7 linked regions of the Cricetulus griseus genome follow. The main gene of each other region encodes a partner of the protein of the gene in region 3 in a complex. Links are inferred from orthologs where the notes say so. Each region holds a gene or a part of one and is shown on either strand. Other genes may lie near its edges.

Region 1 (3,500 bases), on a different chromosome or scaffold from region 3:
CCTGAAGGAAAATTAGATGAAAAGTAACAAGGTGTTTGTATATACCACATATCTATCATATATATATATATGTCTAAAGAAACACGTTGGAGGGAAAGGAATCGTATTTAGTGTGTATTGGCCACAATCACTTTATCTAAAAGCAGGAAAGAATGGAATTAGCATTTAGGCAGAGTCAGAGGCTGATCAGGAACCTGAAATAGTAACACTAATGCAGTAGAAAGAAGTGGTGATCCCAAACACTACAAAGGTAAATGCAGGAGGACTACAAGTTCAATGCCAGCCTGAGCTACACAGGGACTCTCTCTAAAGGAGCAAGAAAAAAGAAGTGCAAAAATCCCATTATGCTACTTATGTTTAATTTTACAAAACCAAAGGCAAACCAACTACTACTCATTTTTGATGATAAAATTAAATTCTGAACCTATTTTATAAACATCTATTAAAACATTCCTGGATCCAGTTCTTATGTTCCATTCAGTCAAATAAGATTTAAGCTTAAGAGGGGGCAACAAAACATGACATGGACTTTTACCCTTTCGTTGGAGACGATTACATCACAATTTCAATGAAAGAGGAGAGGCCAGTGGCCCTTAGTGACTGACACACTTTACTACCACATTCAACACAGAGTCCTTGTTTCCAGACATTTAAGAGTATTGGTATCTAAGGTTTACATTGGGAACATCACATTCTGAAATCAGGTCTGATGGAGATGGAGTTTGGATCAGTGTGGGGCAGTACTTACTGACAACTGACTTCTGTAACAAACACTGGTTTCTTGTTTTTAAAAAATAAGCAAGACAAAATTTTCAAAGTCTTACTTTACAATACATTGTGAACTTCACAGACCAGCACAGGGACAAAGTGCCTCCAAGATGTTTATAATACTTTGTATCGTCCTTTATTTGTTGGTTGGTATGAATTTTGCTATGATAGAAAATAAAAGACAGAAGGTTAGAAAGAACACACACACACACAAATGAATATTTGAGATCATTTTCTTTTAACAATTTATAAACTATCAGATAACCAAAATAAAAAGGCTGTGTGGAGGCAAAAGGAAGGTCTCAATAAAGAACTCATTTTTTTCTGTTCACTGTGCACCCCACCCCTTCCCCAATAACTCTGTAGTCTCCAAACATGAAATTCTTTTTCTATTACTCTTAGAAGAAACAATCTCAATAATATAGCACACTGCTATATTATTAGTATATTTTTGAGATAAGGTCAAATTCAATAGCCCAGGCTAGCCTTGAATTTATGACGTCCTTTTGCTCAGCTTCCCAAGTGATAGGATTACAGGTATGAGTCACCATACTTGGATTGTTTATATATTCTCTCAGATGTGGGTTCGATTCCTGGCACCCACATGGCAGCTCACAAGTATCTGTAGCTCCAGCTCCAGAAGATCCTACACCCTCACACAGGTATACATGTAGGCAAAACATCAATGCACATCAAATAAAAATAAAAGTATTTCCCCCCCTCAAATTGGGTACTTGCATTTAATCCCAGCACTCAGGAGGCAGAGCAGAGGCAGGTGGATCTCAGTGAGTTTGAGGCCAGCCTGGTCTACATAGCGAGTCCAGGACAGCCAGGATTACACAAAGAAACCCTGCATCCATAAGCTAAGTAAATAAATAAATAAGATAAACATTCCCCATAAAAGAATTCTATGTGTTATAAATGGAAATTCAGAAAAGCCCCACCCCCCACCCCTTTATCCTTAGATAGCCAACCAGACTTCCTTCCAAAGCAACTGCTGCATACTGGTATTAAGGATCAATAATGTATCTGTGGCCCCTTAGGAAGGTTATCTTTAGCAGGCTATTCTTTTTTCAAAATTAACTCGCTGCCTAAACTTTAAATACCGACCACACTATGGGTTGGACAAGACACAGAACAGCTGGCATTTTCAAATGCTCCAATGAGTGAAAATGGGTAAATGCTTTTGTAAAACAATGTGGTAACACCCACTAAAAAGATAAACTGTATAGAATTTATAACTAGAATCCTATTCCAAACTATAAATTCAATGAAGAGATGCATTAATATATAGAAAAAGTCAAGGAAAAAGATTCATAGAAATATCATTCATAAAAGCCCAAAGCAGAATTCCTTCAGCCCAAAGCTGTTGTGTTTTCAACAATGACATAACATACAGGCATGAAACAGCACGCACTGTTGCTACCTGCAACAACAGCCTGGCCTCCTCAATATAATGCTGAGACACAAACAGACTAAACAGCATACAATCACACTACACAGAGGTGAAAACGCCTAACACTCATCCTCAAATCTACAGTCACAATCCGTCTCTATCTGAAGGTGATATGGTGACATGGAAGTCAGAGGACATGCTTCTAGATGGAGAAACGGTCTGTATTTCTTCATTTAGATAGTGACTACTCTAAAAACTCGCCAAGATACATTTATGTGTTGGGACGGGGTCCAAGTCTGTCACTGAAATAAGCAAGGCGTGAGGGTTTCACTTACCAGTCGGATCAGTTCTTCTTTTATGAGCCTGGTGATTTCTGCCTTGGCTTTCTGCACAGCCAGTTCGTTGGCACCTGATGATTGAGTAGAAAACATACGGTTCATACTATTGAACTCCTCTGGCTGTAAGGAGGTCCAGGACACAACACCTCAAGTCATGTTAGGGAGTATACTGCCTGCCAAGACAGTGAACTAGTACAGCAGGTTTACTTTCTAACTTGAACACTGATAAAAATACTTGACACAATACAAGTGTGTGGGTCCTGTGCCCCCTGGGACAGCACATGCACTACAACATGAAAGGTGCAGACAATGAGCACGGTCCCTACACAAGGATGACACAAAAAAGCATAAGTGTTCAAACCTTAAAAAAGAAAAGAAAAATGTACGCCCTTAAAACCCGGACTTTCTCTAGAGCAATTTTCACCCTTAAATCCCACAAGTAGATCCTTCCACTTTATATTTATGTGGGTACTGGACTTCTAAGACCTCAAGCAATACATGGTCTTCTATTTCTTAGAGGTGTTCCTATTTTCAGTCTTTCCTACTCTCAACTTCACACTGACCCGCATTACATCTACACAACATTGATCTAATTCATGCTTCACACAGAAGCAACAGTACGCACTTTCAATCGCCAAGTAAATCTTCCGCTCCCCTTCTTTGGGCTCTTTGCCAGGAGGGAAGTAGGTTCCTCTGATTGTGATCGCGGCTTCAGAGTATTCGCTGATTCTCTGCAGGGCTTCCTTAGAGGTGACTTTCCACCTTGCCGTCTACAAGACAAGTTGGGGGAATTAAATCACACCATAGAAATCTGAGTTGTGGGCAGCTGAGAGGACTCGGTGAATAAAGCCCAGGCTGGCCACCTGAGTTCAAACCCCGGAAACTCCTGCAAATTGTCCTGACTGACACACAGCCATGCTGACACCTGTGCCCCACCACCCCCCAATATAGAAAACCACACAATTAGTCTAAGATTCTGGGTTGTAAAGGAACAGATT
Region 2 (4,053 bases), about 47 Mb from region 3:
TACAACACAATAAAGAGTGTACAGCCACCTCTCTTCCCCCGGCTCCAAATGTGCTCCTTTGTAAACTGCCCAAGTTAGGAAAGCAGCTACCGCCTCCCTCCCTTCTCACCCTCCCCTGCAGCTATCTCTAGAAAAAAAGGTTCAGAAAAGGCTGCCACAGAACAAAGGAAAAGATCAAACAGTAGCAGGAAGGGCAGTTTCAAGCAAAATCGGGGCTTTAGAAACATCTCAGGGTCTTTCCTACAGTACTGTGCATTGTGAATCTCTAAGAGTCGAGGCAGGGCATATCTTTTAATATCACCGTGCTAATAGGGCTCTGTAGAGAAACATCTTGACAAAGACAACTTGGGGAAGTTTTTGCCAGGAAACTGGAGTAGCAGACATAAACATTCCCAGAGCACAGTTTGCCGTTTCTAGGATAGAAACCTCTGAAGACAAAATTGAAACCTAGTAAGAATCTTATATATAATTCACCAAAGCTCCCTCTTTTACACATAGGGAAACCGAGGCCCAGGAGGGCACAGCAACCGGCCTACAGCTAGCTACACTGTAACTACAGACAGGAAGAGCTAAACAAACCCCAGGTGTGCTTCTGGACTTAAGTGTCTTTCAGTACAATGTGTATGGCTACCTGGGCTCGTCAGATATTCATATTTCGAATTTTATTTTGAAGCCTGGTGAAAGTTTCTGTCAGTGTTCTGGGTAACTTGTCCTCTTAGGCCTACAGTTCATTGCTCCCAAGTCGTCTCTCCCTCCTTCAATACACTTTCCATGTAATCCTATGCAGTTCGGGCTTGCCTAGGAGGAACAACGATGATCTCTCACTCTTTCCCCCCTCCCTTTGGACTTGTAGTGTAAACTTTTTCATGTAAACCAACTGCACATTTTCAGGCCTTCGCCTGAATGCCGGAGGACTCCCCGCCGCCCCGCTCCCTGGACTCCACTGCTCGCCCCATTCCTCTGTAAAGGGACCCTGTGGTTGATCTTCACCTGGGACTGCCATGATGCAGGTGAGCGGAGTCCTGGGCTTTCGAGATCGCGTTAGGTTCAGGTCCGCTGAGAGGACAACGCACTATCAGAGAGATATCTCCCACCCCGGTCCCCGCAACTATAGCACACGGTAGGGGAAGGCCGGATGCGCTTCCAGAGTTCGCGGAACTCAGGCGCTGCGGATGCAGTTTCCAGGGGAGTCCTATCGCGGAGCACACATGGTCGGAACCATTCTGGCCAGCTTCGGGAGGTGAGTGCCATCTGCGAATACCTGACGTGGACGCAGCACTGGGATTTACGGATTGGTCCTTTAACTATTATGACAGTTAACATGACCAATTCTCTAAAGTTGCAGAAGTCTTATAATATTTTCTAGTTACCCGAAGGACACCGAGTTTCCCCCCTCCGGAGTTAGCGGTGCTAAGGTCCGAGAGCAACATGGCGGCGTCCATGAGTGGCTAGTTTGGGGACTAACTAGTGTTTAGTACGGCTGTCTTGCCCAACTCTGAACGAGTCAAGTTTTCCCCAAGTATCTAAGTTAAAGAATTGTCTGCTAACAGGCGGACACCTTCGGAGATCCGCCATTCACTCGCGACCACACTAAGGAGCGGAGTTCTGACCACTGACCAAGATGAGTAACATCTACATCCAGGAGCCGCCCACGAATGGGAAGGTGAGAACCGCTCCACCACACCTGGACACCCCAATTGAGAGCTCCCTGATTTAGGGCGGGGACGGAGGGACAGGTGTCGGGTTCTTAGAGTTGGAAAGACCAAAAGAACTGTCGTCCACACACTGCTCTTGGACAGTGTTGCATCAACATTATTTACGTTGACACGTCTCAGTGTATTTTTGAAAGAATCCTTTTGAGCAACTTCTCTATTCCCTAGTCTGCTGGCCCCTTAACTTCCTTGATCCAATTCATGTGGGCGCCTTCTAGTGTCTGTTTTTTGTTTTGTTTTGTTTTGTTTTTTTTTAAAGATTTGTGCTAAGATTGTTAAATTGGTTGTTATTTAACTTGGAGACCATGCCTTTCTCTACAATCATTTATTTCCTCGGCTCAACATTTTTTTCTCCTGCAAAATACATGCAAGGTTTTATGTTAGGTCTTAAGGATGCACTGGAAGAAAATCCATCATCACCCCTTTTATTGTTGAATCAGTTAAAGGAACTGTGATTTGATAAAATAATTGTGTAAATAAAAATACAGTTACAAATTATGATGAATACTGTTTTTCTTCCGAATAGAAACAGGCTGGAGGAGAACATAAAGCATAGTCTATAACTTTTTAGAGTCTCTACTGCCTAATGTCCCATTAGGCACCATAGGGGTGTAGTTGGATTCAGAGTCAATGGGGCACATTTCCCTTATTCAGTAAGCATGGTATCACATAGGAAGAAGTTGATGTATGACACCAGCTTACTTCTGAATGCCATCATGGCTGAAGGAGGAAAAAGACATTATTAATTTAGTAGCTTATCAGTGGAAAGTTTTAAGGTGTGCAATGTGTCCAAACCACACATTTTTTTTCTAGAAGTAAGTTCTCAGCAGCGATATATATGTGTGGTAGTGTTTCTTGATTTGTGTGCAGCTTAGTATTATATGAATAACAGCTCATTTCATCCTCACATCAAATCTATGGGGCTAATATGCCTGTTTTTATAGAAGGAAGTTAGTTGGGTGAGAACTGGTGGATATGTCCAGGCAGTCCAAGCTAGTAGGTGGAAAACTCAACTTTGAAGTTGAACACCTTGACAAAAGAGCATGTGGAGGGAAGGGTAATTTGTGGTACTTTGTTCTCAGAGATGGTACTAATGAGGGCATATTTTAGGGCTTGGACCACTATTCCTGAGACACTGGGAGAAAATACGTGTCTATTTGCATTATCTTCTCTTTATTTGTTTAATTATATATTTGTGTGTGTGTGTGTGTGTGTGTGTGTGTGTGTGTGTATTCCCAGAACCCATATTAAACACACACACACACACACACACACACACACACACACACAAGTCCAGGTACTTGTCAGTCAGTTTTTGTATAGAGTAATTATTTAATGATATGGATATATGGTGGCTACATTAACTAAGCCAACCTTTAAAAACTTCATATTATTATTATTATTATTATTAATTTTATTTTATTTTTTGGTTTTTTTGAGACAGGGTTTCTCTGTGGCTTTGGAGGCTGTCCGGGAACTAGTTCTTGTAGACCAGGCTGGTCTGGAACTCACAGAGATCCGCCTGCCTCTGCCTCCCGAATGCTGGGATTAAAGGCGTGTGCCACCACCGCCCGGCCAAAAACTTCATTTTAAAGATAAGATTAATAATTAAAAATTTAGCCTGGTGTAGTGGCACACATCTTTAATCTAGCATTTGGGAGGCAGAGGCAGGATATTCTCTGAGTTCAGTGACAGCCAGGGCTACACAAAGAAACCTGTCTTGAAAACAATAAATAAAAAAAATGTAAAAACTTGCCAGGTGTGGTAGTACATGCCTTTAATATCAGCACTCAGAAGGCAGAGCTCTGTGTGTTCAAGGCCAGTCTGGTCCACAAAGTCCCAGTGAGACCCCGTCTGGAACAAAATAAATACAATGTACAAATATAAGAAAACTATGTTAGCATTTAAGCATAGGAAGCATAGGAAGTCTGTCAAATAATTAAAAGTTATGGAGATTGTTGGGAATACATATTTCCATTTATTATTGTTACAAATGAACTTTGTATTAAATATTTGTTCTGTCCTGAAATATTTGTCTCTAAGATTATAACACCATTGTTTATGATCTACTGAGCTTTTAAAAACATTTTAAGCCTAAATACAGAGAACAGGAAGACAGACTTCTTTAATTTCAAAGTATATTTGGTGAAAGAAATTGTACATGAGAAGGCCCATTTTGTATGATTCTCTTTATATTAAATGTTTTATTTGCAATGTCTATATAAACTGAAAAAAATTTGTGATTGCCAAGGGATGAGGGTAGGGGAGTAGAGAGGGACTGAAAATGGTCAAGGTTTCCTTTCATTCTGTGGTAGTGAAATGCTTTGGAAATAGGGTCAGT
Region 3 (2,482 bases):
TTAATGGCACTGGAATTGCACTAATTTTTGATTTATTTCTTACTAACAGAATTTTCATGCAGATTCTACTTGTCTTAGTTGAAGTTTCTCTTGCTGTGACAGAACACTATAATTAAAAGCAACTCAGGGATGAAAGATTTATTTCATTTACTCTTCCGTATCACAGTTCATCATCTAAGGTAGGCAGGGCAGGAACCTGAAGGCAGGAGCCAATGCAGAGGCCATGGAGGGGTGCTGCTTAATGGCTTACTCTTCGTGGCTTTCTCAGTCTGTTTTCTTATTCAATTCAGGACTACCAGCCCAGGGGTGTCCCCACTGTAATAGGTTGGGCCCTCCCCTATTATCAGTCTCTTTGACTGAGATTGCTCTTTGTCCATTCATCAGATTTTTCTTTTAAAGAATACGATCTCCATCAAGCTATATAATATCCTCAAAGGATATCAGAAAAGAAGTACAGTATCTTTTTCTCAAGTAGTTTATACCTTTGTGAGGAGATACATAACCTCTAAGTTGAACATAAGGTGTAACCAGGCAGAAAAACAGAAGGAGAGAGTACTTGTCTTGAGACACAACTGACTTCCAGAAAATGATTGTAAGCAGCCTTAAAGTTAGGAGGTTGTTTGGTTGGAGGGCTCGGGCCCCTGGGTGGTGTGAGGAGTTGGAGCCTGGATTTTGATGTGGAAGACACCTGGTGTTGACACTCATCACCAAGCATTTAGGACCCAAAGAACTTTTCCCACTACCCAGATCCTAAGGGACAAAGCTGGGACCAAGGGCGGTCCGTGTGAGCTTCTAGGTACAAGAGATAGTTTTCCTGGTCACTTGTAGTCGTAATCGTTGGACACCATCCTACATTAGTCAGGCAAAAAAAAAAAAGAAGAAAAAAAAGGAAGGAAGGAAGGAAGGAAAGGAGGGAGGGAGGGAGGAGAAAGAAAGAAAGAAAGAAAGAAAGAAAGAAAGAAAGAAAGAAAGAAAGAAAGAAAGAAAGAAAGAAAGAAAGAAAGAAAGAAAGAAAGAAAGAAAGAAAGAGAGAGAGAGAGAGAAAGAAAAAGAAAACAAAAAACCAAACCAAAAGAAAAAAACACGCCAAATTCTTTGGACTACAAATCCCAGAATGCAACGCCGGAGTTAGAACGTGATCACCCAAGAGCCACTCAGCAGACCATCATGCAACGCTCTCCAAGTAGGCGGGCTCGCTGAGGGGACGGCCCAATGTTTCTTAGGCAACTCCAATGCCGCGGCAGGATTCACTTCCGCTTCCGCCTGGGAGAAGAGCGTCTGCGCAGGCGCCACAGTGGCGTCTTTCTCCCGCGCCTACACAGATAGAAGTTCCGTGTCGGGCCGGCAGCGGCGGCGGCGGCGTCTCTCAGGTTTGAACGCGGAGCGGGTAGCGTCGGGTCTGCGGCCTGATCTGGAAGCCTAGAGCGGAGCGGCGAGATGACGGACCGGTACACCATCCACAGCCAGCTGGAGCATCTGCAGTCCAAGTACATCGGTACGGGCCACGCCGACACCACCAAGTGGGAATGGCTTGTGAACCAGCACCGGGACTCCTACTGCTCCTACATGGGTCACTTCGACCTCCTCAACTACTTCGCCATCGCCGAGAACGAGAGCAAGGCCCGCGTGCGCTTCAACCTGATGGAGAAGATGCTGCAGCCCAGCGGGCCGCCGGCGGACAAGCCCGAGGAGAACTGAGGCGAGCGCTTCCCAGGCTCCCCCGCCGGCCAGCGGTGGGCCGGTCCTCCTTGCTCGGGCTTCTTCATCGTCTGTCACGCCTGGCCTGCTTACCTGTGGACGATTCCGAACAAGTCACCGAGAGACTGTCGGGACCCCCGGGAACTGTGCGGGAGGAGCGACCCTAGACCCGGCAAGCGAGGGAGAAGACGCCACGGGAGTGATGACGCGTTTCTAATGAGTCTGCCTTTCAGTAGTTGGTTGTCCTTCTTGCCATGTTTATAAAGTTTAGGATTTGTCCTATCTTTTGGTGTGGATTGCTGTGTTCCTTGGGTGGGGTCTGGGGAGGGTGCTGTGGACCAAGGTCTCAAGATGTTGCACGTTGCATCTGTTTTTCTTGAGAGTTAGTCTGTGTGTCTTCAGAAATGAAGAACGGATTTTTTTTTTTCATTCAGTGTTCACCAGAGCGTTTTCCAAAGGTTTGGGGGCATACATTATGCCAATTTGGAGAAAGGCTAAAATAGACCAGGGCTAGATGATGCAGGGAGATTGAGGAAGCTTGAAGAATTCGCAATTTTAAATACTATGCTTGTAATGCTAAGATATTGCGATGATGACATTTGAGAAAAGATTTTACGGAATCCAGAGAAAAACCGTGCAGAGCATGGGAAGTTGCTTACCATCTAATAGGGCATTCGTTGGTGTGTTTTAAGTTACTGAAGGAACACCAAAAAAGCAATGAGTCGCTGGGAGTGGCACACACCTCTAATCCCAGCACCCAGGAGGCAGAGGCTGAAGGATTTCT
Region 4 (4,214 bases), about 250 Mb from region 3:
GCTCTTGGCTTTAATCCCAGCACTTGGGAGGCAGAGGCAGGTGAATCTCTTTTGAGTTCAAGGCCAGCCTGGTCTACAGAACAAGATCCAGGACAGTTAGAGCTACACAGAGAAAGCCTGTCTCAAAAAAACCAAAGAGTTCTAGGCCTGCCTATAATACCTACTAAGCAAGTTTCAAGCCAATCTGGACCTAACTGACAGGAGGTCAACTGTCTCAACTACAAAGATGTGGGATCATGCAATTTTTGTGTCCTGTCGCCGCCGCGCCTGCTGCGCTCCGCCCCCCCCGCCCCCCCCCCCCCCGTTTAGTAAGCAAGCCATCATGGTTCAGACATCTTGTAACTCATCAGAATTTTCTTCATTTTAAGGCTGAGTAATAATAATAGTCCATTTACTATAAATACATATGGAATGGTAATGGGACTAGAATTCAGGAAACAGGCTAGGCAAGCGCTCTACTTCTAAACTTTAGCCCCAGCCTTTTCGAGACAGGGTTTCTCTGTGTAGCTTTGGAGCCTGTCCTGGCACTCGCTCTAGAGACCAAGCTGGCCTCGAACTCACAGAGATCCGCCTGCCTCTGCCTCCCGAGTGCTGGGATTAAAGGCGTGCGCCACCAACGCCCGGCCTCCCTTTTTACTTTTTGAGACAGTGTCTCTCACTAAACTTATAAACCAGCCTTGAACTTGTGATCCCCCTGCCTCAGTGTAGGGATACATGTACACACCGCCACACTGGCTTGGAGCAAGACACTAGAAAATCTGGAAGATAACTCAGCACCCATGTGGTATCTGACAGCGATCCTTAACTCAAGTTCTAGGGAATCTGCTACCCTCTTCTGGGATCTGTGGGTATCAGACATATACACAGTGCACACACATACATGCAGGCAGGCAAAACACATACACATGGGGGGGGGGGAGATGCACCAAAAAAAAACTTTATTTTTAATCACACACATTCAAGACTGTTCTAACATTTACAGAGATGCAGACAAAGGAACTAGAACAGCTAAGACAATTTTGAAAATACTAAAGTAAAAGGGATTGGGGCACTCAGGTTTCAAGACTTATCACTTAGTGTGGTACTTGAGACAGCATGGGATTGGCGGAATGATAGACAAAAATAAAGATAAAGATAAAGGTGGAAAGGAACAGGGCTCTAGAGAACAGCTGGAGGCCTCCCACTGGCAGTGAGATGTCTGTATCCTGACTGTGATACTGCCCACGGTTGTGTGACAAGTTGCCATTGGGAGAAACAAGGAAAGGTACATCTCTCTGCACTATTTCTGGCAAAGAGTTATCAGAATTAAATCAATAACTTCCTCCAAATTTGAAGTTTCACATAAAACAACACAAACATATATCTAGTCTTTAGAAAAGCCCACAGCCAGGACAAGGAAAGACGGAGACACGCCGGTGCAGGCCACCTTTAGGTCCAGCAACAGCTCTGGATTTGAACGTGGGTCCTAGCAAAGGCTCCTGCCCACTCACTCACCTGCTTCACTTTGACGGTGGAGTAGTGGGGGCTCCGGCTTCTCTTAGTCCGAGGAGACTTGCTTCTTCTCCCTGAGGACTTGTTTTTCTTTTTGGCTGGGGACCTTATCAGAGCATGGTACACAGGATTTTACCTCAATGTCCCTGCCCCCAAATAAATTAGCTTCAAGTATCAGGCTACTAAACATAACACATTTGTGAAATCACTAATGGAGTCAGGTCCTCACTTCCCTAGCCACTTCTCCCAGGCTCACATACACAACTGCCTGCTCACTTAGATACCCTAATACTTGAACCCCAAAGCTCTTTTCCCAGTCTGTCATCCTACTGATTGGCATCACTATCCAGGGAGTCAATCTTGCCTGGTTTTTGGTTTTGTTTTGTTTTTTGTTTTTCCTAACACACTCCCTTCTCCAACAACCACATCCAATCCCTTGGCAAGTCCCAGGGACCCACCCTTTCCTCCACCCCACCTCATTCCTACAATGCTGCTCCTTCATCGCTCAATTCCAGACACACTGCCTGTTTTGCTTCAACTTTTAAAACAAGCCCAATTCCACTTCAGGTTCTTCGCATACATTTTTCTCTGTCCTGACCCAGCGCTAGTGCCGGGGTTAAAGGCGTGCGCCACCACGGCCCGGCCACGTTACTGTTTGACTATATCCTCAGCACTAATTGAATCTATTTGTTATTTTCCTTCTTTAGGGTTGGAGCACGCCCAATTTCGCCGGGGCCAAACCATCTCTCTTCTTCACCCTGTGGCCCAGTACCTCAATTGATCGTTAGCCCACACTGTGCACTCAGTAAATCGATGCCGTACGGGGGGCATCGGCGAATGAGTGCTGCGAAGAAGTCGCCAGGACCCAACGTGAAACAACACTTTGGCGGCAGGCAAGTGGAAAGACATTCCCACCGTCCCCCGTGGGAGGCGGGGGGAATCTCATTTCAACTCAACAGGTGCTCTACACCCCGAGTCGCTCGCACCGCCCGGGCCCCGCGCCATCCCGGCCGCGGCCCTCTCACCGGCTCACTCCCCGGGCTCGACTCCCACGGTGGCTAGCGCGGCCCGGCTCGGCGGCGGGCGGGGACGGGCTAGCGGCTGGGGCGTCGGGCCGCCGGTGCGCGATAGGTTCGGGGCTCAGACGCTCCTGCTTCACCACCACGGTCGCCAGTGCGTCGTCGGCCCGGTGTCGCCGCCGGCCGCTTCGCTCCCGCTCGCTCTTCCCGGCCTTCATCCTGCGGCCCGGCCGAGAGCCACTTGCACGGTCCGTTGAGCCACTCGAGCCGAAGGAAGTGACGGCCCGACCTTTGTACTTCCGCTTCCGGGCAGCGCGCTATCCCAGAAGCCCTCACGGCGGGGGGTCCCCTAGGTGGGCGTGGCCGCAGATGCTAAGGTTCCTACGCTGGGGACGCCCGGGCTTGTGACCCCGGGATCCCGGCTCCTGGGGAAGTGAGGCTGGAGGACTGGAAAGTCAAGGCCAGACCTCGGGAGGCGGAGGCAGAAGAATCGCTGTAAATTCGAGGCCAGCCTGGGCAATTTAGTGAGTCGGTCAGGTAGAGATTGCCTAGCCGAGCCCGAAGCCCTGGATTCCATCCGCAGCACCGCCAAATAGAAATTAAGTTAAAAGGGCGGAAAGCCTGGAGAATGTATCTTAACAGTAAAGTGAGCGTTTGCCTCGCGTGTGCAAAGGGCTGGGGGCAGTCCCTAAGACCTCACAAATCACCAAAAGAAAAAAATCCTTTTTTTTTTTTTTTTGCTTCTCGAGACAGGGTTTCTATATGTAACGTTGGCTGTCCTAGAATTTACTCTGTAGACCAGGCTGGTCTCGAACTCGAGATCCGCCTGCCTCTGCCTCCCAAGCCCTGGAATTAAAGGTGTTCGCCTGGCTCTTAAAAAAGACAAATCTTGCCAGGCGTTGGTGGCGCACTCGGGAGGCAGAGGCAGGCGGATCTCTGTGAGTTCGAGGCCAACCTGGTCTACAGAGCCAGTGCCAGGATAGGCTCCAAAGCTACACAGAGAAACCCTGTCTCGAAAAACCTAAATAAATAATAAATAAATAAATAAATAAATAAATAAATAAATAAATAATCTTGGGGTCTGGGCTGGAGAGATGGCTCTTCCTGGGGTCCTGAGTTCAATTTCCAGCAACCACATGGTGGCTCACAACCATCTGTGATGAGATCTGGTGCCCTCTTCTGGCCTGCAGGGATGCATGCAGACAGAACACTGTATACATAATAAATAAATAAATCTTTAAAATAAAAGAAAGAAAATTGGAAAGTTAATCCAAACCTGTTCGTGGCGGATTGTTGATAGTTACAAAACACAGACAAATACTCAACAATAGGAAATTCTTTTTTGTTTCTTGAGACAGTGTCTATGTAATCTTGGCTGTCCTGGAACTCACACAGATCCACCAGCCTCTGCCTTCTAAGTGCCAATCGTTGCTAAACAAACTAAGGAGTCAGGAGATGACTTGCGTTTTAAGGCTGAGCAAAGGTGGTTTGCCCATCTCATCACATCCCTTATTAGATCTAGCGCAAAGTCTCCAATCTTGTTTACCAAAAAGCCTGGAGCGTGTGGAGCTAGTTCAGTAGAAAAAACTTGCACGTGGCCGGCTCCGCCTCCCTACGAAGCCCCGCCCCATCCATGGGGCAAGGCGAGTAGGGGTTTCCATGGTGACCGCAAACAAGGCCCCACCTGGAGGGGCCGATACAGAG
Region 5 (3,500 bases), about 250 Mb from region 3:
ATCCTGATGATCTTGCACAAAATACTTATTTTGTGCTATCTAAGCTCAAAATGAAAGCCTAGATGTGTTAATTTAATGAGAGTAAGGAGAACATAGGAGTGAAGGGCTACTTCATGGATCGTCGAACAGGTAGTGATAGAGCAAGTTCAGGAAAGTGGTCTGTAATATCAGAATCATTGACATGTGTGATTCCTACAGACCTGGTGGAGTTCACAGATGAAGAGGGTTATGGTCGTTACCTTGATCTTCATGACTGCTACCTTAAGTACATTAACCTGAAGGCGTCTGAGGTAAGGCCTGAAGAGGGGAGGGATGAAATCAAGATACCTAGTTAAAGTACATGGAGTGTGCCACATGTAATGTGTGTTGATATTAAGTAGGTGATCCCATTTCTTGGAATAATAAACAATATTTATAATAAAATGGCACCTGCCTACAGTTAACACAGCAAGCCCATTATTTTCTTTAATAATTTTCATTATTTTAATGTGTTCATGCAGTTGAAATCTGAGGGGAGTGTGCACATAGAAGCCAGAGGCCAACATCAGTTGCTTACCACACTTGTTTTGTTTGTTTGTTTTTTCTTTTTGTTTTTCGAGATACGGTTTCTCTGTGTAGCTTTGGAGCCTGTCCTGTTGCTCTCTGCCTCCCAAGTGTTAGGATTAAAGACATGTCCCACCACTACCAGGCTTCCGCTGTATTTTTTTAATAGAGGGTTTTTTTTTTATGTATTTCTATTTTATGAGTGTTTTGCCTGCATGTATTCATCATGTGTGTGCTTAGTACCCTTAGAAGCCAGAAAAGGGAGCTATATCCCCTAGAGCTGGAGTTTCATTGCACATGGTTGTGAGCCACTCTGTGAGTGCTGGGAATTGAATCTGGGTCCTTTTCCAGAACAATAAGTAGTCTTAATTGCTGAGCTGTCTCTCTGGTCCTGCCACTTTAGTTCTTGAGACAAGATCTTTCACTAAACATGGAGCTCACCTTTTGAGCTATTCTGGCTGGCTTGTGAGCCCCAAGGATCTTTGTCTCTGCCTTCCTGGCACTAGGAGTCTGGGTGTGTACCACCATGTCCAGCTTTTACATGGGGTTTGGGGATCTGTTGTTAGGGTCTCATGTTTATGCTATAAGCACTTGACTCATTGAACTAACCCCCTGCCCAAAGATAAATAACTTTTTTGTTCGTTTTCTGAGAAAGGGTTGCTCTGTGTAACTCTTGCTGTCCTGGGGCTAGCTCTGTAGACCAGGCTGGCCTTGAACTCACAGAGACCCCCCTGCCTCTGCCTCCCATATACTGGGATTAAAGGCATGTGCTATCACTGCCTGGCAAGTTTTTAAACCCATAAATACTCTGAATGTTCTTGTGTTAGATGCACAGTATGAGGCATGTGAGAAACATAACACGATCTCTGTCAGAAAAGGAATAGTTCATGTCTTTTTGCGGGGCAGGTGTTTATTTGTTGTTTGTTCAGTGATGAGGTTTAAAATGGCAAATTGGTCACATGGAAGTTTAATAGTAAGTTCATAGATGGGGCATGGTGGCACACCTGTAACTCCAGCACTCAGGAGTCAGAGGCAGAAGGATCTCTGTGAGACCTTGTCTTTATGGGGAAATGTCCCCAAGTTCAGCTACTAACCTGTAAACTCTGCAGACAAGATGTCTTGTTCTTTTTTGCACCCCCATGTTTGGTTCAAAGATCTTCAGGAAGTGGCTTCATGAATTAACATAGGTAACCTTTCAGGACCTTATTTGAGAATGGCAAAATCCTTAGACAGGAGCCTGGCCCACCCTAAAAATCCAACATGTGACTTGTTTGGATTTGGGTTTGTTAACTTGATCTTGTAGGGTTAGTTTCATTTCCAGCAATCTTCTGCTCACTTAAGTGGAATCAACAGCCTTAGGGATTGAAAGACAGGAAAGAAAAGCCAAGCCTTGATACTTGGTTAGAGAACAGTCAATTTGGCCTTGCTTTTTAAAACAAAATTTATTTATTTGGTATATGTGTGCAGTGCCCTTCAAGTATAGAGGTCTAAGGGTAACTAGAGGGAGTTAGTCCTCTGCTTCCAAGAACTCAGGTCTTTACACTTGGCAGCAAGCACCTGTATCCACTGAGCCATCTTTCCAGCACTTGACCTTACTTTTTGAATAGTAATTGACTTGTCTTTTGTTATTTCTCTTCTCTTTTCAGAAGCTGGATTACATCACTTACTTGTCCATCTTTGACCAGTTATTTGACATTCCTAAAGAAAGAAAGAATGCAGAGTATAAGAGGTAGGCATTAACAGTTTGCTGGCCTTTTCTGGATTTAGCTAGAATTTCATGGGAAGTTTTGAAGTCAGAGTTCTGGCTTTTGTTGCATGAATGTTCTACATAAATGACTTCTGGATTTATCAGAAGATAAGTGAGTGTTAGTTTAAAAATATTTGTGATGCTGATATAATGGTGTGTGCCATTAGTCCCAGCACTCTTAAGAGGCAGAGGCAGGTGGATCACTGAATTTGAGGCCAGCCTAGTCATAGTCCAAGCCAACCAGGGATGTATAGTGAGACCCTGTCTCAAGAAATAAAATAAAAATCTGTATTTTTGGTTGTGGACAAAGGTATCTTTGTTGGTTAGGGTTTCTATTGCTGTAAAGAGACACCATGACCATGGGAATTCTTATAAGGGAAAACATTTAATTGGGTGGCTTAAAGTTCAGAGAGTCAGTCCATTATCATGATGGGACATGGTGATGTGCAGTCAGACATTGTGCTGGAGAAGTAGCTGGGAGTCCTACATATTGATCCAGAGGCAACAGGAAGGTAACTGAAACACTGAGTTTGTCTTGAGCATATTTGAAACCTTAAAGACCACCCCCACAGTGACACAGTTCCTCCCAGGCCACACCTATTCCAACAAAGCCACATCTAATAATGCCACTGCCTATGAGCTTATGGAAGCAGTTACATTCAGACTACCATAGTATCTATGGGAACGTCTGTGGTCTTACCCATACCTTCCTTAATTTTGTGGAATATAGAAAAAAGTCTGTTTGGGGACCTCTGAAGTTTTTGGAGTTTAACAGGGAAAGTTTCCAGGACTGGCTACGTGCTTGGATCTGGTATTAAGTGGAAAGTAATAATGAATTTATCACACTTTTCCTTAGTGTTCCTAAGCTTGCTCTTTCTCATATTCTGTTTACTTGACCTTTTTTTTTTATCTGTGAGTTAATTAAGACCTAGTAATTGACATTACTTCTCGAGGATAAAAGGAGGTAGGAAAGGTCATGATGTGAAAAAAAAAAAATTACGCTCATTTTAAAAATTTAGTGGTGAACCAGGTGGTGGTGGCACACGCCTTTAATCCCAGCACTTGGGAGGCAGAGGCAGGCAGATCTCTGAGTTCCAGGCCAGCCTGGTTGAGTTCCAGCAAAGTCAGAGCTACACAAAGAAACCTGTCTTTAAAAAAGAAAAGAAAAAGAAAGAAATGAAGTATAGTTTGCAGGGCATAGCAGTATGTC
Region 6 (3,500 bases), on a different chromosome or scaffold from region 3:
GTAGTCCGGTCACAAATCTGGACTGGGGAAATGCATTTAATTTTTATTAATCCCCAACTAAATTTTAGCATCTCTTTCTATTAGAAGTATAACTATAGTGTATACTTCCAATCCATTTGTTACTGTGAGATACTGTTTATGGCCATTCGACTTGAAATTAAAATCAATACTTGGCCTCCTACCACTTCTTGTTATTTCATGTCTGAAGACACTCAGAGCACTCTGTATCAAGCTGCTTCTTTTCGTGTTTTGAGGACTGTCTCAGTGTCTGATCTATCTTTTTGTGTTTATGCATTTTAGGAAGTGTACTGTTTTCACTAGACTTCAAAAGAAGTATATGGGAAAAAAGGTTATGTTTTCCTCCATCCAACATTAAATTCCAAAAGAAATAATTATAAAAACCATAGATTTTTAGAGCCTTAAAAGACTGAGCATTATCAAGTTTAATGTAAAAAGCAAGTGAGGCTTAAATGCCCAAGAGTAAGTTAAAAACAGTGAGGCCATGTAGCTTTCAGCAGGATAGCTGCATAAACAGGAGGTCTTTCAAATGTTATGACGGTGTCTCAGCTCCAAGGTCCCTTGTGACTTTGCCTTTTTTGGTAATTTTTAGCTTAGCCTATCAGAGGATGAGCTGGGAGGCCCTGAAGAAATCAATCAATGGTCTCATTAACAAGGTCAACATCTCCAATATAAGTATCATTATCCAAGAGCTCCTTCAAGAAAACATAGTCAGAGGGAGGTAAGTACTGGTCATTTGCCTTGTGTATCTCATAGTAAGTTTTCAAAGAAACTTAATATCTCTCAACGGTAAGCATTGGTTTGTTATACTACTTCATTTCAAAGGTATTTGTGAACGTTTATTCAAAATGCAGTTCTTTTACAATGTAGGCTATTAAATAACTTATATCATGTTGTTCAAAGTTTATAGTCAGTGCTTTTTGAGATTTGATATCACAGCATAGTTTTGCACAGGAATTTACTAAATTTCTCTAATAATTTAAATCTATTAATTACTAAAATATGCTATTTCAGACTAATTGTTTAAGTTGCCATGAAATCTTATAAATCTGTTATTAACAGTGTGATGCTTTGGTGTGTTCATCCTGTGTTGCCACAAGGGTCAGAATTTGTTCCTTAGAGTTGAACGTTATTCTATTGTGTGTATATGAATTGTCTTTGTTACTAGTCAGTGACAGGAGCTCCATCTGGCTCTTGTGGATAATGCTGTAGGGATGTGGTGTGTAGCTCCCTGGCTTGGTGTTTCCCTACCTTCTGCATTACTGTGCATGCCTACTCACAGTCCACAAGTGTTCCCTATTCTCTGCAGCCTTTGTCATTTTTATGACATTCATTGTACCAGGGATGAGATGATCTATCATGGGTTTTACTCTCTCTGTTCATCTGATGATAGGTGGTGCTACATGGTATTACCTATGTGTTATCTTGAGAAATGTCTATTTAGATGTTTTGTCAATTTTCAAAACGGGTTATATGGTTTATTACTGTTGGCTTATCTGATTTCCTTGTATATTTTGGATTTTAGTTCCTTATCAGACTTGGCTTGCAGATACTTCTCTTTCCGTATTTGGTTTCTTTTCACTGTCCAGAAGCCATTTAGATTAATGAGGTCTCATATATCAAGTTTTCTTGGACCTCCTGTGGTTTTGGAGTTATGTTTTAATGTATCAGTCCAGACAAATATCATGGCGCTCCCCCCAGTAGTTCTACAGATTGTTTTCCTATGTGTTAATCAATTTTAGGTTGCTGTGTTGTGTGGTATAAGACTAAGTTATGCTTTTATTCTTCTGCATGTTGATGTGTAGTTTTCCTACCACTACTCTTGAACAGACTACCTTTATATTGCATGCTTTGATGCTTTAGTTAAAAACAATCAGATACAAATGTATGAATTTGTCCCTAGGTACTCTGTTCTGTTCTCTGTTGGTTTCTATAAAGTTTTATGCCAGTACCATGCTGTTTTGGTTACTATTAACTTTGTGTAACAATAGTAGGTTTTTAATTGGGTAATATGCTGCCTCCTGCTTTTTTCTTTTTGCTGAAGATTGCTTGGTCACTTGGATTCTTTTATAGTGTATATTAATTTTTAAGGAACTTCTTTCCCCTGAAAAATGCCTCTAGAGTTTTGTTGGGTATTACACTGAATTCAGGTAGTGTGACAAGCGTAGCCTGTTCCTGATCCCAAAGGAAGGGTTTTTGGCCTGTCACTGTTGAGATTTTGTCATTATTTCCTTTATTTCCAGTTCACATTCTACTTAAACCAAAATGAGGATGATAGATGAGTGGGAAAGATAAACAATAAATTTGAAGAAAAATGAATCAATTTTCTATTTGGATTCAAGCAATTGGTGATTTTTTTTAAAGAATAAAGAAATGGAAATAAATATCTCATATCTGTCTGTTGTTTTTACATCCAAATGCTGTCTTCTTGTGATTTTATATTACACTGATTATTATCATTAAAAACAGGACTAAACTAAGTAGAGCATGTGGTTGGGGAGCAGAAGGTTGGCCAAAAGCCTGCTACTGTCCATGGAGGTGGCAGAGCTCTGTTCATTTTACCTGGAAAACAAGCAGGCATAGAGAAGGGACCTCTGTTGCTTATGTCTTATGTATAATCTGGGTTCACTTCTTTTCCTCCTCAGTGGTTCAGCTGTCCTGTCTACACTGCTAAGTATTAAGTCATTTCCCACCCTAGATTCTAGCAGTCCAGTAACTGTCACAGTATTTCTCAGAATAATGTAAATTAGCTTGCTGTCCATCTCTCTTTTCCTTACCAAAAAAAAAAAAAAGACTGTCTCAAGGTGAGTTTCCTATCTCTATATTGTCACTTCATCAGCACTCAGTATCCTTACTTTTGTTCCTCTAAAATTACACCAACAGAAGGAAACAGCTCAAATCTGTGTCCCATCACAGAATTGTTTCATACAGATGATGGACCCTGGTAGAAACGTTATGTTGTCTAAATTTTACACTCATCAAGCAAGTTTGTTTTTACTCCGCTGTTTTGGGGGTTTGGTTTATTGAAAAGTTTCTCCTACAATGTATTGTGATGTTTTCCCCCATTCTTACAGTCATGATTAGAGGAAGTGTGAATAGGAAAAGAATTTTATTTAGAGAACAATTTTTGAAAAAACTTATTCTGGTTTTATTTTACAAAAAAGCACAATTTTGTTTTCATAAAAGCATCCCTCCCCCCAGGCAAGATTTCTCTTTGTGGCCCTGACTGTCCTGTAACTAGGTTGGTAGACCAGGCTGGTCTCAAACTCATAAGATCCGCCAGCCTCTGCCTCCTGAGTGCTGGGATTAAAGGCGTGTGTCACCAAGCCTGGCATAAAAGCACTTCATTGTTGTTTGTTTTTGTTTTTCTTTTTACATCCCAACTAACACTTCCCCTCCCTCCTCTCCTCCCAGCCCCTTTCTCCTCTTCTTCTATTTTTCTTCAGGAAAGGGCCGGCATCCTGTGGATATCAGCCAGCCAT
Region 7 (4,220 bases), about 100 Mb from region 3:
GTCAGCAGGGTCACTGCTCAAGCTATAGCACTATCGTGACACCGTGAAAGTCAGAACTTTCATCTACTTTTTTGCAGTTTTACTATCTATTGAGTTGGAAAAAAATCATCTGACATCTATGTTGCCAGAAATATGTAAATCAGGTTATATTAGTGAACAGTCTTGACATCTGGTGCAGAGAGGAACCACTGTTATCATGACTATGGACTATACTGGTGCTCAGAATACTCTACCCTTCTTGCATCTATGACCCCAGGTGTCCTCAAAAGGTAGTATTGGGTATAGCTTCTGCAGACTCCAGGCCCGAGAACCACACATACAAACGGCTGGCAAATCTCTGCTGTTAATGGGAAGTGAGGGCTTCAAGCACCTGGCTTAGAGGAACCCACAACCACCGCGCCCCCCAGTAACCTTGTCATCACCTTGAGAACAGAAAACCACACTGGGGGGAGCGGGCAATTCGGCCCTCAGGAAATGAGGGGTGCCCTCATCCTTTATCACACTGCGGATGCTTAGACTCAAGCTTCCCGCTGGGCGGGGACGGGGACTGGGCCTGGGAACTGACTGTGCCAGGGACACCTTGACCTAGGACAAGGCAGGAGCGGACAAGGACGCTGGGCCTGCAACCGGGACAGGTTCGCAAAAGTCAGCCCCAGGTTGAGCCCGCCTCGCGTGGCCTCGCCTACCGCCGCAGGCAGAGCTCCCCGCCCCCGTGAACCCACACATCGGAGCTCGCTCACCTGCAGCCGGGTCACCAGGAGGCTGTAAGGCGCCATTTTGTGCACTGACAAAGATGAGGTCGCGTGAAAGTGACGTGCCACAGGGCGCTTTTGAAGTGCTTGGGAAGGGGCGTGGCCTCCAAAGCGGCGCGTCACGGTGAGGGTGGGGCCTTCCTCCTCGGAGCCGGAGTCCAGAGAGCGCAGTGGGCGGGGCTTCCATGACGGGCACAGCGCGAGAAAGAAACTGCCAGCTTGTCAGTCTTTGCACTTGGGGACGGAGACGGCAGCGGAGCCAGGAGTTCAAGGTCATCCTTCACGCCTTGAGACTCAAAAGGGAACCCCCAGACCACATATTTTGCGGAAGCATGCGTGAGGCCCTGGCCTCAGCCCCGAGCACAAAAAGTACCATGTGTACAAAAGTTTTTTGCGAGACAGGTCTGGCTGGCCTCGAACTCAGAGATCCGCCTCCCGAGTGCTGGGACTAAAGGCGTGTGCTACCACCAACCAGCCATATGTAGGAATTTTATCCAAGACAAAAACACTTAGTTTATTCGTTCAAATCGGGAGGGAACAAAAACTTTATTATAAAGTCTTTGATGCACCTGCTAGGGGTCCAGCAAGTTCACGCTGAGAAAACTCGCGAGAACTAGCGAGATTTGGTGCAACGAAGGGCAAAAGCTGATGGGCACCTTGACGGCCAATCACGATGGAGAAGTGGGTGTAGGAACGGCGTAGGTTAAAGGTCGAGCGGAAGTTCTCTAAGCTTCCGGCCGCCGGCTTGGGGACGAGTGATGGCTAAACACCATCCAGATTTGATTTTCTGCCGCAAGCAGGCTGGTGTTGGTGAGTTGGCTCGCCGCTCCCTTCCGTTGGAGTGGGATGGTGTTAGAAACGGGAGAGTGGGGGGTTCGCTTCCTCTTTAGGGCCTGGCCTTGGGGGCTCCACGTTTCGCGCCTTGCGGTCCCTGGGTATTCTGGGGGTGCGCCCAGGTTTGTGACTTGTGATAAGAAGGCAGGATCGCGCGTCTGGGAGCCTGAAACTGGGGGCAGCGTCTGCGCTAGGTCTGGAGAAGCCGTCCCAGGTTGCTTTGAGGATTCCGGACAGGGCGCTGGTGCAAAGCAAAACTTAGGGGCTTAGGCCGGGCGTGGTAGTTCACGACTGTAATCCCAGCGCCTGGGAGGCTGAAGGCAGAAGATTGCTGGGGGTTCGAGGCCGACCTGAACTACATAAGAAGTTCCAGGCTATAAAACGGGAATCTGTTGGGAGGAGGGGCGTGGAGAGGGGAAAAAAAAGGATAATAAGACAGCTATTCTGCTCACTGTAGTCATTGCTACCTGCCCCATCCTCTATCCCAGCTTTGAGGAACAACTTCCTTGCTAAATCACCATTTTGATTTTAACTGTGTTTTTTCTTGCAGCTATCGGAAGACTGTGTGAAAAATGTGAGTGGAACATACCCTCTCACACATTGCCTTCTTTCTTTGTTTTTTGACGAGCCAACAAGCCATTTATTCCAGAGGAGCCCTAAAGAAGCATTGAGTGGATATGCCAGACTGCAAAGAACACTGAATCTCTGACTACAACCAAAGGCTCCCCACCAGACTCCCACTTTAGCTTGCATACTTTAATATTTCATACTTAGGTTGTGGGGGAAAAATACTTTTGGACAGTAAGAACTATCAGAGTAGTGTGAACCTTCCCAGGCCAATGTTTGTGCAAGAAGGCATGCAATTTGTTGATGATAACTACATAGACTTAAAAGCTCCTAGCTAACACGTCAAAACTCTTCCCATTTATATTTTGAAGGAAACTGAGGTAGATGGTAGATATAAGATAGGGTGGATGCTGTCAAGATAGAGAAAAGGCCTGAAGTCACAGTCAAAGGGAGACTGGTTATTTCACCCATAGAATAAAGATCTTTAGGAAGTAATCACTAGTGAATATAACTCCATTCCTCTTCCTTTGCAGGTGATGGCAAATGTGTGATTTGTGACTCCTATGTGCGACCCTGCACCCTGGTTCGCATATGTGATGAGTGTAACTATGGATCTTACCAGGGCCGGTGTGTGATCTGTGGAGGCCCCGGAGTCTCCGATGCCTACTATTGTAAAGAATGCACCATTCAGGAGAAGGATGTGAGTGTAGACTTGAGCATTCCCTCCTGGCCTTTCTTCCTTTTTCTTTGGACCATTTTGCCATCCATGTCCATCTCTTCTGGTCTATGGAGACTGCAATGTTCAGCTAGTCATGTAGGTAGAGGTTATTATCATCCTCCTTTTATACTCTGTCCCAGGCTATCTGACTAAATCTGGTGTCCACATTACATCATGTTATGCTTCTCTAAGACCTTCTTGGTGTGTGCTCATGATGAAGAGAGCACCCAGCCTCCTCAGCACTCCACATGTGGATGCTACCTACCACCAGTACCCGAAGCCAGATAGGGCTTTAAGGAGGGAGGGGGGTTGTTCTACGTGGTGCGGAAGGTGATCTATGATAGCTGCATTTTCAGTTTTGATTGACTTTATCATCAAATCTCAAATCGGGTCTTACCACATCCAGCAGATATTGATTGGGGAAGCCACATTTAGGCATTAGCTAGAGTTCCCAACTGAGAGCTTTTTCTCCATGGATGAGCTCCAGGCTTTTCTTACTGCCTGCATGCAGTTTATGCCACAGGACATACAAATGATTCCTGTTGGGTATATCCTCACTGTTCTCAGTGCTGCAGAGTTTGGTTGTGTTTGGTTTGGTTGAATTTCTTTGTTACATCTATTTGTGTGGGTGCATGTGGTATTAAGAGGACAGCTTGCCTGGAGTTGGTCCCACACACACACACACACACTAGTGAGTATTTTGGCCCACTAATACTTTTATGTGCTTACTGTTTTTCCCTGTCCTTCTTAGAGAACCAGATTGGTGCTTGGCCCAGAATGGAGTTTTAGAGCAGCTGAAAAGTATTGTTTACTCTGTTGAATCCACTATTGTTTGGGAAAAGGGGAATGTTGTTGATTAAGTATGAAATCATAATTTCAGTTGGTGGTTTGAACATTCTCCTGCCCTAAATGCTCTTTCCAATTCTTTAGACAACCAGAACTCGATTGTATTCTGTCTTCCACAGCTGTGGATTATGTCCTCCATCTTTCCTTTTTCTCGGGTCTTGGTAATAGTGCCTAATCTGTAATACAAGGATGGTGCTCTCTTTTTGGTACTGTGCCTATAAAGTGTTCCTGGGAGACACTCCCCACCCTGGGCATTTGTTATTTAGGAACTGGGAAGTACTGGGTGTAATGGAAAGAGGAGGGACACACAGTTCTCAAGCTAAAGGGTCCCTGAAGAGACAACACTTTCTTGAGCTTTCAGAAATGTCTAGAGTCTGTTTCTGACTTAAGCTTGGAACCAGAGGATGCTTGCTAAACAGTAATTGCCATCTCACTTGTCTGCATGCGCCCTGTGATCTGATACCTTTGGATCCCTGCCCCTCATTCTGCTCCCTGAGAATTAT

What was found.
Region 1: Sf3b5 (region 3) and Ddx46 share a complex: the UniProt entries of both Homo sapiens proteins name them as parts of the 17S U2 SnRNP complex. The link is inferred for Cricetulus griseus from reciprocal best matches to the Homo sapiens genes SF3B5 and DDX46.
Region 2: Sf3b5 (region 3) and Cwc27 share a complex: the UniProt entries of both Homo sapiens proteins name them as parts of the minor spliceosome. The link is inferred for Cricetulus griseus from reciprocal best matches to the Homo sapiens genes SF3B5 and CWC27.
Region 4: Sf3b5 (region 3) and Snip1 share a complex: the UniProt entries of both Homo sapiens proteins name them as parts of the minor spliceosome. The link is inferred for Cricetulus griseus from reciprocal best matches to the Homo sapiens genes SF3B5 and SNIP1.
Region 5: Sf3b5 (region 3) and Sf3a3 share a complex: the UniProt entries of both Homo sapiens proteins name them as parts of the 17S U2 SnRNP complex. The link is inferred for Cricetulus griseus from reciprocal best matches to the Homo sapiens genes SF3B5 and SF3A3.
Region 6: Sf3b5 (region 3) and Cwc22 share a complex: the UniProt entries of both Homo sapiens proteins name them as parts of the minor spliceosome. The link is inferred for Cricetulus griseus from reciprocal best matches to the Homo sapiens genes SF3B5 and CWC22.
Region 7: the proteins of Sf3b5 (region 3) and Phf5a are in contact, whole or in part, in a cryo-EM structure (PDB 7EVN), measured with the Homo sapiens proteins. The link is inferred for Cricetulus griseus from reciprocal best matches to the Homo sapiens genes SF3B5 and PHF5A. Residues at the interface, in NP_112577.1 of Homo sapiens: Arg4, Tyr5, Thr6, Ile7, Gln10, Leu14; in NP_116147.1 of Homo sapiens: Pro6, Asp7, Leu8, Ile9, Phe10, Cys11, Arg12, Ile88, Leu91.

What each region holds. Positions count from the first base shown.
Region 1 is NC_048596.1:274,656,438-274,659,937, reverse strand, and holds part of Ddx46 (probable ATP-dependent RNA helicase DDX46), read right to left. Parts: intron 3,273-3,500; coding exon 3,128-3,272; intron 2,574-3,127; coding exon 2,500-2,573; intron 931-2,499; coding exon 883-930; 3' UTR 1-882. UniProt on the Homo sapiens protein: Component of the 17S U2 SnRNP complex of the spliceosome, a large ribonucleoprotein complex that removes introns from transcribed pre-mRNAs.
Region 2 is NC_048595.1:323,100,651-323,104,703, reverse strand, and holds the start of Cwc27 (spliceosome-associated protein CWC27 homolog), read left to right. Parts: upstream 1-1,253; 5' UTR 1,254-1,621; coding exon 1,622-1,663; intron 1,664-4,053. Other genes in the region: protein SREK1IP1, read right to left, coding at 991-1,003. UniProt on the Homo sapiens protein: As part of the spliceosome, plays a role in pre-mRNA splicing. Probable inactive PPIase with no peptidyl-prolyl cis-trans isomerase activity. As a component of the minor spliceosome, involved in the splicing of U12-type introns in pre-mRNAs.
Region 3 is NC_048595.1:275,868,412-275,870,893, reverse strand, and holds Sf3b5 (splicing factor 3B subunit 5), read left to right. Parts: upstream 1-1,288; 5' UTR 1,289-1,437; coding exon 1,438-1,698; 3' UTR 1,699-1,982; downstream 1,983-2,482. UniProt on the Homo sapiens protein: Component of the 17S U2 SnRNP complex of the spliceosome, a large ribonucleoprotein complex that removes introns from transcribed pre-mRNAs.
Region 4 is NC_048595.1:27,987,065-27,991,278, forward strand, and holds the start of Snip1 (smad nuclear-interacting protein 1), read right to left. Parts: upstream 2,801-4,214; 5' UTR 2,729-2,800; coding exon 2,517-2,728; intron 1,598-2,516; coding exon 1,495-1,597; intron 1-1,494. UniProt on the Homo sapiens protein: Required for pre-mRNA splicing as component of the spliceosome. As a component of the minor spliceosome, involved in the splicing of U12-type introns in pre-mRNAs. Down-regulates NF-kappa-B signaling by competing with RELA for CREBBP/EP300 binding.
Region 5 is NC_048595.1:28,346,922-28,350,421, reverse strand, and holds part of Sf3a3 (splicing factor 3A subunit 3), read left to right. Parts: intron 1-198; coding exon 199-290; intron 291-2,189; coding exon 2,190-2,272; intron 2,273-3,500. UniProt on the Homo sapiens protein: Component of the 17S U2 SnRNP complex of the spliceosome, a large ribonucleoprotein complex that removes introns from transcribed pre-mRNAs.
Region 6 is NC_048599.1:97,153,846-97,157,345, forward strand, and holds part of Cwc22 (pre-mRNA-splicing factor CWC22 homolog), read left to right. Parts: intron 1-610; coding exon 611-739; intron 740-3,500. UniProt on the Homo sapiens protein: Required for pre-mRNA splicing as component of the spliceosome. As a component of the minor spliceosome, involved in the splicing of U12-type introns in pre-mRNAs. Promotes exon-junction complex (EJC) assembly.
Region 7 is NC_048595.1:379,006,418-379,010,637, reverse strand, and holds the start of Phf5a (PHD finger-like domain-containing protein 5A), read left to right. Parts: upstream 1-1,420; 5' UTR 1,421-1,510; coding exon 1,511-1,562; intron 1,563-2,136; coding exon 2,137-2,160; intron 2,161-2,686; coding exon 2,687-2,853; intron 2,854-4,220. Other genes in the region: Aco2 (aconitate hydratase, mitochondrial), read right to left, coding at 741-776.